Linked DNA regions of Notamacropus eugenii. Each later gene encodes a partner of the first gene's protein in a complex. Links are inferred from orthologs where the notes say so. Each region holds a gene or a part of one and is shown in the gene's direction. Other genes may lie near its edges. The genes, in order: LTK and ALKAL1.

Region 1 (7,375 bases):
ATCAACAGTCTCCTTAGTAACAATTGATCAACACCAGTGTGCATCCACCTGTAGTCTAGAGATTGGGAGTGGAGGGAAGGAAATTGGTTCAAAGGCAGTAATGGGAGGTATCACACCATCTGCATGTACAGATAGAGATACAGTGTTCTCAGGTTTTTCATATCCTTCCTTCAGTTTCCATTTTGACTTTGAACTTTCTGTCCTGTAAAACTAAGGCTTAAGACACCCAATGGTTTGTTAACAAAAACAATAAATACAGTGTAAAGCAAAGCCCTCTCCTTGTACAGCTGTGATAATATCAGAGTGCTGAACAACATACATTCCTTTTCCTGGGCACATTTGCAGAAACAACATGCCTTTCCCATCCGTCTTGTGCCTTTGGACAAGATACCCCAAATCACCCTGTTTAAGATTTTTTTAAGTTCTTTAAGGGGGCTTTGGTGGTTAAAGAGATGTTTAATTTCATCAGTGTAGGGCCAGGGGAAGGGAACCTCTGGCCTCAAGGCCAGATGTGGCCCTCTAGATCCTCAAGTGTGGCCCTTTGACTGAATCCAAACTTCACGGAACACATCCCCTTAATAGAAGGATTTGTTCTATAAAATTTGGACTCAGTCAAAAGGCTGCACCCAAGGACCTAGAAGGCCACATGTGGCCTCAAGGCCAAAAGTTCCCCACCCCTGATAGGCAATTCCTTTCACTATAACTTCTAACCTTAGAGAGGTATCTGAGTAACTTACTCATGGCCACCTAGCTAGTAATTTGAGGGAGGACTTGACCCTAAGTGCTGTCTCTCTGAGATCACCTCCAGCCACACCATGATGAATTGAGTTATGATTATGAGCACATAAGTAGGTGGAGTGTTGGGTTTATAGTCAGGAAGAGCAGACTTGGGTTGGTCTGATGCTAACAGTATATGTACCTGCAGTGCATAGAGCATTGGGTCTGGAGTTATGAAGACCTGAGATACTTCCTAGCTATGTAACCCTAGGCAAGTCACTTAACCTCTACCTGCCTCAGTTTCCTCAACTGTCAAATGAGGGGAATAATGGCACCTAACCTCCCCAGGTTGTTGTAAAGATCAAATGAAATAAGATTTTTAGCGCTGTACTGGACACAGAACAGACAATAAATGCTTGTCCTCTTCCTCCAAGAAACCACCAGGTCTGGTCATCTTTCTGTACCTCATTTCTCTTCTGTGTAAAAGGGGGTAATGCCTGTGGTACTAGCATTTGCTTCAAATGATTGCTTTGAGGCGTAAAAAAACTTAGAACAAATGAGTAAATCCATGAGAAAATATTAAGCACTTGTTCTATGCCAAGGTCAGTTCTGGAGATAAGAACACAAAAAGGAGTTCCCATTCTATTTCTAACAGGGGGAGACAGTATCTATAAGAGGGATGTCTTGGTCTGAGTGCCTGGGACTATAAGGAAATCACCACTGACACATTCTTTCCAGGGTCCCTGGGCTGCCTTTCAAACTCAGCCCCCTCAAGCTTGTAGACTGGGTCTCCACTCCCAGATTCTCAGGGTAGCGGAAGGGTCCAGGCCTCCCCAAACTCCAGTCTGGTGAGTTTAATAGCCGTTAGGCACAATTCAAAGCAAACTATTTGCCATGGTAAGAACTGCAGCTACAGAGTATTCTCCCTCCAGGAAGACTGGGGACAATTTCCCGCATAGACATGTCTCTGGAAAGAGGGGGAACACATTCATTAGAGTACGCTGGTCCTGAGGTACCGCCATCAGGACCTGTGTGACCAGGGCGTCTTATGCCCTCCGGGACTGCAGAGTCCTGATATCATTTCATGGAGTCCTCCTCCATCCCAGGCACAGTATCTCTTCTGGGTTAAGATGTTCCGTTGGGATCCCTAGGTCTGCTGCCTTCCAAAGCTCTGCTCTCAACTCCCAGGGATAGTTCTTGATTGAATCAAAAAATCAGCTCTCTGCTCTCAGAGATCATGCATTTTAAAGCTAATTCTTGTCCCTGCTGGAGTGTATGTATTTTTGTTTTCTGCCTTGAGCACACTGAATTCTGAGCTGCCTCTTCCTTTAGTGGGTCCTATTGATTGAGTAGCTCCAATGCTAGAAGACAAGGATGATAATGAGTCTGGGGAGGAAAACACAATCCCTGACTGACCTCTGATAGGAGCTGAAAGCCATATTACACACAGCTGCTTCCTGCCCGCAAGACTTCATGCTAAATCAAACTGTCCTCAGGGCTTGGGAGACTTAGTCTTTTTTAAAAATTATTTTATTTTTTCTGTTAAACATTTATTTTTCCCTCCTTCATTTAAAAGAAAAAGCAAAATCCTTTTAACACACATAGAAAAAGCAAAACTAATTCCACATTGGCTCTGTCCAAGAATATGTCATTCTGCAACTTGACTCCATCAGAATTTTTAAGTCTTGAAAGATACTTGTCCTTACATTTGTTATATAAGTTGTTTTTCCTGGTTTTGTTCACTCTGCATCAGTTCACACAAATCCTTCCACAGATTCTCCAAAACCATCCCTTTTATCTTTTATTATGACGTAATGGTCTTCCATTATATTCAAATATCATAATTATATTCAAATATCGTAATTTCCCAAATGATGAGCACACCTTAAACTTGCAATTTTTTGCCACTTTAAATAGAGCTGTCCCTGTGTACATATGAATGCTTTGCTTCCTTCCTTGATTTCCTTGAGCAGAAGCCTGATATGGTATCACTAGGTGAAAGAGCATGCAGAGCTTAGTAACCTTCTGGACCTAGTTCCAAATTTTGTTCCAGAATGGCCCATACCATTTTGACACCAACAACACACATTAATGTCTCTGTTTTCCCAAAGCCCATTCAACAGTTGTCATTTTGGGGTCAGTTTTGCCAATCTGATGGGTATGAGATGGAATCTCAGAGTTGCTTTAAAATGTAAATTTCTCTAATAGTGATTTGGAGCAAGTTTTTTTATATGATTCAGGATTAACTTTTTAAGTCTTCCAGGGATGTGGCCCATCTCTACGCAGCCAGTGGCTAGCTGCCCTTCCCATTTAATCAGATTACTCCTCCCCACATTTTGTGAACAGTGACAAGGCCTATATTATCTGAATATTTTGACTTTCTAAAGTGCACCCAACAAACCTTAACACTTTGGGACATATTACAATACCAACAATTAGCTAATTGCTAATAGCATTTTTATAGCACTCTAAGGTTTGCATAGCACTGTGCATGTGTTGTCTCATTGGATTCTCAGGACACCTCTGTGAGGGAGGTACTATTATTATCTATTATGCCATTACAGAAAAGGAAACTGAAGCTGAGAGAGGTTATGTGACTTGCTCAGGGTTGTAGCGAGTAAGTGTCTGAGGCAGGATTGGAATTCTTCTTGATTCCAAGTCCTGCATTCCATGCATTACCCCACTTCATGCCTTAGATTTGTGTCTTAAAAAACTCAAACACACAAGCTTGAGAGATAAGCAGGGCAGGTAATGACCCTACTTTATAGCTGAGGAAAAAAGACTCAGAGAGAGTAAGAATTTGCCCAAGTTCACACCAGAAGGTAGAACTCAGGTCGCCTGACTGCCTAGTTAGTCCAGTGCTCCCCCCTCCCCCCCCCCCAGTGCACATCCTTGTACATGAAATGAATGTGAGAAAAGGGATTTATGGCATGGGTGTGTAGTATGTAAGGTGGGTATGTAAGAGGGTGTAATATGCAGTGTTAGTTTCTGGGCTAACAGACCTCTAATCCAGAGACTGGATAGAATAATCACAAAGTTTAAAAATTACACCTCAAGAGTCATACAAAACCCCACACTCCATCTCTCCCAGGATAAAACTAGCTGACATCACACCTGACAACTTGCTATCAATGAAGCCCAGGGAAGGACCGACTTCGTTGTCCGACTTCTCTGCCTCCGAATTTCCTCCTTAGCTCCCTAGGGCATCCATGTAGCTGGGGCCCAAAAACCCAGGGCATTATGAGGGGCTGCTTGGCTTCTCCCCATTCTTAACCTGTCATTGGTCAGAGGCCAAGGTGATTTTTGGTCAAAATTGGAATTGGTTCTTTGAGGATTTGGCTAGTCATATGCTGGAACTTGGTGCCGACTCACTGTGCCCCCTCCGCTTCCCTGGTTCCTGAGCTGCTCTGACCACGGGTCTGAAACGGGTGTGGCTGGGGCGGGCTCTAGGACCCTGAGGTACCCTGGGGCTGCTGGACACTCCTATAAGCCTCAGGCCGTCTGACAGTCCAGCACAGCGTCTGCGGAGTCCTTGCCCGCACCTGGCTGGCCCCTGCGGGTGGGGTGATGGGAGGCCTGGTCCACTTGCTGCTGTGGCTCAGCTCTGGAGGTAAGCGTCATAGCCACCGACCGCTCGTATTCAGCACCCGAGGGGCCCCACCCAGCCTCGTCCCGTGTTAGGGAGGTTGGGACAGGAGTGAAGACAAGCTGAGTCTTCTGGCATGCAAGCCCAGAAGCTCCTACTCTCCTGCAACCTGTCAGGGTGGATGGGGGTAGGCAGGGTCGTTGGGAGGGACCCGGAAACCTGCACCTCTTAGGTCCACAATAGGTCGTCTCACAGTGGCCAGGGCGGGTAGTATGGCCCAGATGACCCCTCCACTTTTTCTGCGATGTCTCTTCTCCAGGGGCCCTCTCCCTGAGTAGTGCACTGGATCCAAGTCCCAGGAGATCAGGGGCACTCCTGGCTCCGGTCCTTTCGGAATAAATTTGAGACCCTGGGGAAGCAGGGGGAGACTCGGTTTGGGGGGAGCCAGGGGAGAATGATGTGAGGTAGGGAAGGGGCCCAGCCCAGTAGGTCACTGAGCTGATGGGGAGGCAGGATCAGTACCTCTCCGAGCTCTGGATTCTGCCCACCAGGAACAACAGCGGGGGGGGGGGGGGGGGGGGGGGAGGGGGGGGTGTCAAGCGCTCGGGAGAGGGAGTGGCCATACTGATGGGTATCTCCTTGTGCACTTGTGGTGAGGGTCTGCATGGTTTTGCCAAGGCAAAGCGTCAAGGGGGTTCTTCCGAGGTCTTCCTTATTCTTCTTTTCATGCTCAGTGAATCATCTCTATCTCTCCCTACTCCTCACCTTACTTTGAAGGTAGAGAGCTCTTTAACCCAAGGTTAGGAAGCAGGTTTTGACGAGTTTCTGTGCCCACCACTAATACCGTCAAATCACAGGGATTATAGAATTTTAGAGCGAGAAAGAACCTGAGATCATCTAGACCGGGGTTCTTGACCTGAAGGAGGGAAAATTACATCTTTATTTAATTATCATTGATTTTCTTTGTAATCCCCTGTATTTTATTTTATTCTGAGAAGGCATCCATAGACCTCATGAGACTGCCAGAAGGTTTATGACAAAAATGGCTAAGCGTATCTGACCTAGGCCTAATTTTACAGACCAGGAAACTGAGGCCCATTTCCTTGCCCAGGGTCACACAGCCGTTTGTGGCAGGGCTGAAACTCCAGCCAAAGCCATTTGCCACACCTTTCTAATCCCCGCCTGTCATGTCTGGATTTCTTCTGCAGGTGTCATTGTCTGCTCTTCGAGTTCCGAGTCTCCGGTCCCTTCCCTGCCTCCTTCTCTGACGCCTCCTGTCCCCAGACTCCAGAGGACTGGTGTCGCCTCCCAGAGTGGCACTCAGGAGCCAGCAGCTTCCCATGGCCTTTCCGGTGAGACTTCGGGTGTCCCTGGCTGCTCCCTCCCAAACCCCACAACTCCCCTCCTCCGGTTCTCCTAGTCTCACAATCCTGACTCACGCGCAGACATTTCTAGCCCCACCGACGTCTCACTGCTGTAACTCCTGGGCCCCCCCAAAAGAAGCCACGTTGGGCTCGCTTTTGCAAGCCTTTCGAGACCTCAGCTATGAGCAGCTGAACAGGACGTGGGTGGGTCCTCAGTGACCGTCCCCCTCCCCTCTGTCCCCCGGACTAGACGGCCAGTGGCAATTCTCCACCTGCGGAGCTAGCGGGAGGCGCGGCCCCACGCAGGCTCAGTGCGACGGGGCGTACGAGGGCGGCAACGTGGCGGTGACCGTGGGAGCAGAGGGCTCCCTCCGAGGGGTGCAGCTCTGGAAGGTGCCAGCCCTCGACCGTTATCTGTAAGTGCTCGTCCAGGGACTGCCCCCACTGCGTTAGGAAACGATAGGGATGTAGAGGTGAAGCAAAGGAGCACGGATTCCGCCCGTCAAGCCTAGGACCCCAGCCCGCCGTGGCCTGACCTCGCCCCCTTCTCCTCCCTGCGCCACGAAAAACCAAAACAAAACACCAAACCTTTATGGAGCTGGAGATAGGTCTGGAGAGCGGTCACCGTGGGAGGGATCTGAGCCCCGGGTGGGGATGGCTAAGGAGCCAGGGCTGGCTTCCCCCAGGATCTCTGCCTACGGGGCCGCTGGAGGCAAAGGCGCCAAGAACCACAACTCCCGCGCCCACGGGGTCTTCGTCTCGTCCGTCTTCACCCTGCGCCAAGGGGAGCTGCTCTACATCCTGGTGGGGCAGCAGGGAGGGGATGCCTGTCCCGGAGTAAGCAGTGGGGGGTATGGGAAAGGGCGGGCGCGGGGACGGAGACCGCCTGGAGTGTTTAGGAAGCGGGCTAGGAAACGGGGAGCTGTCGGAACCCACTGTCTGTTCTGTCCCACTCTGTGCTGGCAGGGGAGCCCGGAGAGCCAAGACGTCTGTCTCGGGACGTCCTCAGCAGCGGAGGAGGAAGAGAAGGCGGCTGGAGCCCCAGGGTTCCTGGGTCCCAGACGCTGGGCTGGAGGGGGCGGGGGCGGGGGGGGCGCCTCCTACGTCTTCCGGGTAGGTCCCCTCTATTCCCCCGCCGTCCCCAGGGCTCCCTGGATCCTTCTTCCTGGCTGTGTCTCCATCCCCAGGCCCCGAGGGCCCTCCTTCATCCTCCCGGCCCCCGTGAAGGAGGGCCCTTGGGAGCACCCCTGACAGTACCCATAACTTTCTCAGCAGCTGCAGTCCGGAGAACTGGAGCCTCTGCTGGTGGCTGCAGGCGGCGGGGGCCGAGCCTATCTTAGAAGACTACAGAGAGGCTCGCTGAGGGCGACCCAAGAGAAGCTGGAGAACCGGACCTCTGCTCCTGGGAGAGGCGGGAGGGGCGGGGCCGCAGGTGAGAGGGAGCCCGGGACCCTAAATGACCGGCTGGAGTGTGGCGTCGCTCCCCAAAACTTCCTTGGGGCTGCCCGCCCCGGCTCAGGCTCTGGTCCGTTCTGCAGGTGGAGGAGGCGGATGGAAATCGGGGGCTCCCTCGGCACAGGGCGGTCGCTCGCTGCTGGAAGGAGCGGAGGGAGGCCAAGGCTGTCCCGGAGCTTGGGCTGCGCTCCGCTGGGCTCCTACCGGCGGCTTTGGGGGCGGGGGCGGGCCCTGCACCGCGGGAGGCGGCGGC
Region 2 (7,208 bases), on another chromosome or scaffold:
ATAATAATAGCTAACATTTATATAGTGCCTACTGTGTGTCAGGCATTGTGCTGAACCTTGTGATTATCTTTGCTATCTCATTCAATCCTCACAACATCCCCGGGAGATAGGTACTATTATTACTGCCATTTTTTAGATGAGGAAACTGAGGCAAACAGGTTAAGTGACTTGCCCAAGCTCACACAGCTAGTGTCTGAATCCAGATGTAAACTTGGGTTTTCCTGACTCCAGGCCCTACACTCTACTCACTGCACCCCACTGATAGAAGATATCCTTACTTCCATGTACCCAAAATAAGTTCTTTTTTGTACATGATGTTTGACCCTGTTCTTTTGAATTTTTTTTTCACCAGTTCAACTTATAGGGTGCCTTTACTATATAAAACTCCTGTTGACTCTGAATCCAGAAAAAATAATAAATTGTTTTCTTCAAAGTCACAATTTTATAGTGCTTCTTCCAGGTTCCCCTTTAAGTTGAGTACTCTGAAAATATTTTCAAGGGACAAGAAAATTACTTGAAAGCATTGAGATTATTTTGATGATTTTATGAGATTAATATTTTTTAGTCATTCTACTTTGATCTACCTCTAATGAAAAAGTTTTCTTCAGTTGTCTTTAGTTTATCCTTCACTTCCTCCTTCCAAGTTCTCTTTGTTCTGGAATGACTCTGAGCTTGCAAAATGAATGCAAGGGATCTCAGTAGATGGTTCATTTAACATAATGTCCCACAAAGTGTCTAATAAATGTTGATTGATGGATTAATAGATCATAGAAAGTCTGGTTTACTGGCATTTGTGTTAGGTTTGAAAAAAATGAGAAAACAATCAATATCCAGGAAAAAGGCAATGGTTTTAGGTATGAACAAAGGTAAGGAAGTGGGAGAATAAAGGATATTTTCATGAGGCAGAGAACACTCCAGTTTGTTTCAGGAGGGGTGTAAGTGTGCAAGATTGTGGAGAATCTTGAATGCCAAGGAAGAAAGTTTGAATTTTATTCAGTAGGAAATAGTATGTTCTTGAAGATTTTTGAGCAGAAGAATTTAACAGGTTGATGAATAGATGACTAGATGTATCTATAAGGAAGATATTTTGGTAGTGGCATGAAGGATACATTGGAGGTGGCAGAGTTGAGTTAAAAAACCCACTGGAAAGTTATTTTTAAAAATTAAATATTATTTGCAGTTCTGATTTCTCTACCTGGCCCTATATATCTCCTCCATCTGTTGAGAAGGCAAGAAAAAAAAAAGAGAAGAAAAGTTTTGGGTTTTTTTGTGGCATTTTGAGTCCATCTCTTTTTATATTGAGGTAGATACCATATTTCATCATAGACCTTTTAGAATTGTGGTTGGTCATTATGTTGATCAGTCTTCCTATGTCTTTCAAAGTTATTTATCTTTCTAATAATATTACTATTGTATGAATTGTTCTCCTAGCTCTGCTGACTTCACTTTGCATCATGTTATACAAGTCTTCTCAGGTCTATTTTTTTCTTTTTATTTCTGGAAACCACCCCCTTCATCACTTCATATGGCATGATAATGCATCACTTTCATATACCTTAACTTGTTCATTAATTAGATTAAAAAATAAAACAAAAAAGATCAAAAAAAGAAATGAGACCTTTTCAGAGAAACTTCTTGCAAAAATTTCCTCTTTCCCATTTCTTATGTCTCTTCTTATTTTATCTGCTTTGCTTTATTTATGAAAGCTCTTTTGAATTATTTAAGTAAGATTAACCATTAGGAATTTATGTTAATATATTTGGGAGTAATGTGAGTTTGTACTAGTATGGCTGTTGTGAGACTAGGCAGGATTGATGGCATAAAGGAATTTATAGAGGTAGAATTGATAGAATATGACAATTGACTGGAAGTGAGAGGTGAGGAAAAGGGAACCTTCCAAGGCAATTCAAGATTACAAACATGGGAGATAGTGTGTATAATGATGCCACAGACATAAATAATGAGGTCAGACATATGGCCAAGCTTGAAGCAAAAGATGGTGTTTAGTTTTGATCTTTGGTTTTGAAAATGTTGAATTTGAGGTGTCAGTAGAGGAACATGTCTGGTACAGAGTTATGATATCAGAGTTACGATATCATAAGAGATATTGGGACTGGAGATCTAGATTTTAGAAATTATTTATTTAGAGGTAGTATATGAAGCTGTGGGAATGAACAAGTTTTACAACTGAGAAAAGGTAGAGAGAGAAGAGGGCCAAGGACAGAAATCTGGAGAACACCCACACTGGGGAGAAGTAAGGCAATGTGGAGGATATAGAGAAAAGCAACAGAAATGGCAAACCACTAGAATGTGGTGTTTTCAAAATGAGGGGAGAAGGTTGTCTGGCATAACCTTTGGTGATCAACACTATCAAAAACTGAAAACTGTTAAAGAAAATAAAAAGTAAGAAGCATCCATTGGCTTTGGTGACTAGGATGCCACTAGTGACTTTTGAGAGAGTAGTGTCAAGTCATCATTCTTGGTAGTTGTAGTGATGGAGAGAATCAAATTGTGAAGTGGATGGTGAGGAAATATAGATGTCTAGTATTGATAACTTTTCTCAGGCAGTTTAGTGGAAAAAGAGGAAAGGAAGTTGAAGAGTGGGACTGAAGAGGAGGATTTGGGATTTCTTTTGTTTGTTTTGTTTTGTTTTTAGGATTGGGAAGTAGACAAATCAAAAGGAACTCTTGAGGAGAAAAATTTTCTGAAGATGTACTCAATGTCATGCAGTACAATACAATGGTATAATAAACATTTATTAAGTGATCACTATGTTTAAGGAAGTGTGTTAGATGCAGAGGATACAGAAAAAGAACAGTTCTACATTTTGCCATCCCTACATGTGAGAGGGGATGGCTTCTGGGACAAAGTTCTATAGGATACAGTAAGAATGGTCTGAAGGTCACAAGTAGAACGATTATTCCTAGTAAGGAGGAGGAATTGATTTTAATGTTAAGAAATTCAGGAATACAGATGTGGAGCTAAGGGACCTCACATTGGTTGGTTTCAGTCATCCCAGCGAAGGAGATTAAATCTGCTTTAAGTGTGGAAGGTGGAAGTGAGCTGGTAGAAGAAAAGGTTTGCAATAGTTGCTATGTGGAATGAGGTAGGGAGTCAAGATTAAAAAAGAAGGCAAATGAAGCCAACTGGGGAAAATGAACCCGGAGAACTGAGATGGGTCAAGGAAACAAAGACTAGAAGGGCAAAAAATTGGTTTAGTGTCAAGGAATAGGGGAGGTAAAAGGACAAGAGGTTGTAATATGAAAGTAGTTTGGTTACCAAACCTGAAGGAGTTTCTTGAGGCATAAACACATTAACACACTTCCCTAGAGTCTCAGAATTAATGAGTGTAAGAGGCTAAATTTGAATCCAGATCCTTGTTTCAAGTCTACACTCATTATTGTCTCTTCAATTAAATATAAAACTAAATATATATCTACTCATAATCAATAACTATAATTATCTGACAAACAACATTTACTTATAATTGTCTTATAATTGTCACTTTACTTAGAACTAAAGAATTTCATTTCATTTTTCATTTAGTAGAACTTACAAGTTTTGAATAGGGATTTTTTTGAAGTTTAAAAATGCTGTCATCCTTTGTGTCCTTTGGTAAGCATTACTGATTTACAGAGAAATTAGATTTCACAAAAAGATCTGAGGCACTCTAGCCGATGACTCTTCCCTTGAGTGCAGCCCACAGAGGGGAAAAGGAAACAATAGAAGTTTGACATGAATAGCCAGGATGAATTGAAGAAAAGATTACCTAAAATGTCCTCGTCATTTGCCACCCACCCAAAGCCTACTAGTGCTCATTTGAACATGCTCGTATAAAACAAAGGAGTGGACTCCAGAGGGGCACTCACTTACTGTCTCCTGAGCGGGTGTGAGAGCCACACTTGCTCCAATCAGAGGGAGTCCTCCGCCATAAGCAAGAACTAAAGGGCAAGAGAAGACAAAGCATTTGCATTTTGCCAGTGAAGAAGGATTTATTCATCTGCATAAGGTAAACTCCCCATACTTCAAAGAGCATCTCATAGAAAGGCATTTTTTTTTTTTTTTTTTGCTTTACTCTGTAACCTGAAAGCTACTCTCTTTAGTATCCAGCAGATAGGTAACTTCTTGGGTGGTTAAAACTTTTGGCTGGTTTTGGTAACCACAGAAGGAATTAAACAATATTATTCCTCAGAGGTTAGTGTGAGCAGTTCCCAGGATGTAAAGAGAAGGAGGAGGAGATTCCCTGTAAGGATGCAAAATCGTAGTCCAGGAAAGGTTTGCATTTAAACTATTGTCTTAAGAATGGAATTATCATTTTTCCTCTGAAAAGTTAATTGTGTTTTACACATCTCCTTGACTGAGGGTGAGTAAAATTTAAAAGAGACCTGGTGTTTTATTTATTTAGAAAGAAAGGGAGGGAGGGAGGGAGGGAGGGAACAAGAAAGGAAGAAAAGAGGGAAGGCACGAATGGAAGGAAGGTAATAATAGAACGAAGAAAAGAAGGAAGGAAAGAAAGAAGGAAGAAAGGAAGCTTTGTTTGGTGAAGTAGAGAGGACCCCAGGAAAAGCAGCCAAAGCATGGGGTTGGTAGACTTTTTTATCCCCTCAGGTTTGCCAGGGGATAGAAAAGTCCTCCAAAGTCCAATTCCTCCCTCTCCCCACCCCCACTCCCGCCCCTTCTTTCTCCCCTTTCTTCTCACTGTACTTATAGGGGAATCTCTATAGTAATTGTGTGCTAGTGACATTCTAGTGTCAGAAAGCTTTAAGCGCATGGCTTGCTGGCCAGTCTGGCCCATGGTTCATCTCCCACATGCCTGAGTGGCACTGGGTAGCTGATGGATGGTTCGAATTTCACAAATTACCCACGAGAGGCTTCTTTTCTTGAGATTCTGAAGTTGATTCGTGTCAGATCATACATAGCTTCCTGGGCAATCGGGCTAAACCCATCTTTTCCTTTCTCCTTTCCCTCCTCCCTGTGCTCCCGCCCACCTCTGGAAAAGTTCTCCATCTTCTTGAGAGCCTCTTGGGCTATTGCCCGCTCCCCAAGGCACTGCTTTTCGGGCATTTGAACTGCAAGGACTGAGGCAGGGGCTGATGGACCGGTGAGGGATACTTGTCCGGGACAGTCCAACAGTGCCAATACTCTTCCCCCCGGGCAGGGGCGGGGGGTGGGAAGGGCTCCCAGGGGTAGTAAGGTTCTGGAGGCCAGGGATAAGGATTGCAGAAAGACTACATTTTAGACCTAAACAAGACCCTCACTTGCTTTCTTCTTCCTTTTTTCTTTTTCCCGCTCCCCCTCCATCATCCTTGATCGGGTTTCTTTCCTTAGACATCTGAGTCTCTTCCTTCCCAGTCCAGTCCAGGTTAGGAATTCGTTCCAGACACGTGCTGGGCATGGCACTGGGAGGATCTAAATGTTGCTGTTTTCTTTCTTTTTCGCCTTCCTTCTTTCTCTTTAGACGCACAGAAGATGCAGGCAGTTAGCGAGTGGCCCAAGCTGCCTACCCTCTTCCTCTTAATTCTCGCTTTGGCCTCCCAGGAGAGCCAAGGAAGCCCCCGGGGCCGCAGGCAAGCAGGAGCGCAGGGAGATAAAGGGAAGCTTCTCCATCTACTACCAGCGCCCGCAGCTTCCAGTGGCGCCCACGTCCCGCAGCACCTCGGCGCGGGCAAGGTGCGCTCCTCTAGTCAGCGGGAGCGCGTGGTGTATGCAGCCCCCTCCACTTCTTCGTTCTCCGAACCTCAGAGGGACCACGACCGGGCACTGCTGTTCTCCGCCTCCTCCTCCACTGAACCAGCCGGCTCCTGGATCTTCAGCGTACCCAGGAGCGCAGGTAAGAACGATTCCCAAACTTGATTCTTTGCTTCGGCGCACCTGATCTGCATCCAACTTCTGGACATTGGAACGGACTGCGGCTTGAGAGAGCCTCCTGTCTCATGCCAGAAATCCCAGTCTCATTGTGAAAAGCAAAAACATGAAATTTACACCCTCTCTGAAGCTTTCCATTCTAAAATCTACCTCTGGGATTGGTGCTTTGGTCCGGGGACTTTGAGAAGAGAAGGGAGGGGAAGGATATGTTCTGGGATCCAAGGAAGAAAAAAGGGAATAAATTATGCTGAGGCGAATAGAAGTCTCAGTCACGGAAAGAAGTTGAGTTAAACTCTTCTGCACGAATTTGGGCTTTGATTTCATTTAAGGACAGTGAGAGGTTTACGTTTCTTCCCAGCTGGCCACACACGTTGATTTCCGTTATTGTTAAAGACGGAGGGATAAAATGCAAAGATTGCTGGATTGAGAGTAAGCACTATCTAAATCTAAATTGTTTAGAGCTGGATTTGGAGCCAGAGGACCTGTGTTCGAAACACTGTGACCTTGGGCAAGTCTAAAGCTCTCTGAGTCTCTAAGATCCTTGGTAGTTTGAAATCCATTTTCTTATGATCTAAATTTCCACCCACTAATCAGTTTCTCTAGGTCTTTTAAAATTGTGGGTGGGTCTGGAAAGAGACAGAATCGCCCAAACTTCTTTGGGGAGTAAGTTGCCAGGAGGTGAATAGTGTGTGGAGGGGGAGAGAAGACTGGTAATGGAAAGAGTGAGTAGAGAAGGAAGTAAAAGAAGACTAAAGATATTGGCTAGAATGAAAAGGACAGAAATTACATGGAAGATCTATAAAATTGTAGGGGAAAGAGGAGATGGTATTTACATATATATCACAAAACATGTTCAAATTTATTATTCCCTTGGTCCCTGCACACTTGGGACAAACTATTATTTTCCTATTCCACACACACAAATACAGTTTTACATTTGAAGAAAGCAAGGACAGTCAGATAACTTCATGGTGGTTACATGACTGAACCAGAACTAGAATTCAGATCTTCTGATTCCAAGGCCAGTGCCCTTTCCACTGTACTGCTGCTATGCCAAGCTAGCAAAATGCCCTAGGAAACTTGAAGAAATAAAGAGTTGGAAGAGTTGGTAGTTAACTTACTCGTTTTTTCATCTTTGTTCATTGGTCCTTAATACTAGATTGTTGTTAGTGATTTTTTCTATCTGTGTAGAGTCATATGATTCTAGTTTTAAAACTGGAGGGACCTTAGAGATTATTTAGGCACTACCTCTATTGCTTACTGTTTGTATGCCCATAGGAAGCTCATCACCTCTCTGGTTTTGTTGTTGTTTAGTCATTTTTTTGTAGTGTCCCACTCTTGGT

The links.
Region 2: the proteins of LTK (region 1) and ALKAL1 are in contact, whole or in part, in a crystal structure (PDB 7NX0), measured with the Homo sapiens proteins. The link is inferred for Notamacropus eugenii from reciprocal best matches to the Homo sapiens genes LTK and ALKAL1. Residues at the interface, in NP_002335.2 of Homo sapiens: Tyr124, His140, Phe143, Ala250, Ser251, Pro252, Glu253, Leu359, Phe360, Leu361, Gln362, Leu364, Ala365, Val366, Glu368, Glu372, Glu374, Arg376; in NP_997296.1 of Homo sapiens: His93, Arg96, Leu97, Asn100, Thr101, Arg102, Glu103, Arg112, Arg115, Leu116, Arg119, Leu120, Ser123.

The regions. Positions count from the first base shown.
Region 1 is NC_092878.1:27,621,605-27,628,979, reverse strand, and holds the start of LTK (leukocyte tyrosine kinase receptor), read left to right. Parts: upstream 1-4,194; 5' UTR 4,195-4,284; coding exon 4,285-4,327; intron 4,328-5,511; coding exon 5,512-5,655; intron 5,656-5,917; coding exon 5,918-6,083; intron 6,084-6,353; coding exon 6,354-6,504; intron 6,505-6,633; coding exon 6,634-6,780; intron 6,781-6,939; coding exon 6,940-7,099; intron 7,100-7,205; coding exon 7,206-7,375. UniProt on the Homo sapiens protein: Receptor with a tyrosine-protein kinase activity. Following activation by ALKAL1 or ALKAL2 ligands at the cell surface, transduces an extracellular signal into an intracellular response.
Region 2 is NC_092875.1:270,219,187-270,226,394, reverse strand, and holds the start of ALKAL1 (ALK and LTK ligand 1), read left to right. Parts: upstream 1-3,969; 5' UTR 3,970-4,009; intron 4,010-5,458; 5' UTR 5,459-5,469; coding exon 5,470-5,830; intron 5,831-7,208. UniProt on the Homo sapiens protein: Cytokine that acts as a physiological ligand for receptor tyrosine kinase LTK, leading to its activation. Monomeric ALKAL1 binds to LTK, leading to LTK homodimerization and activation.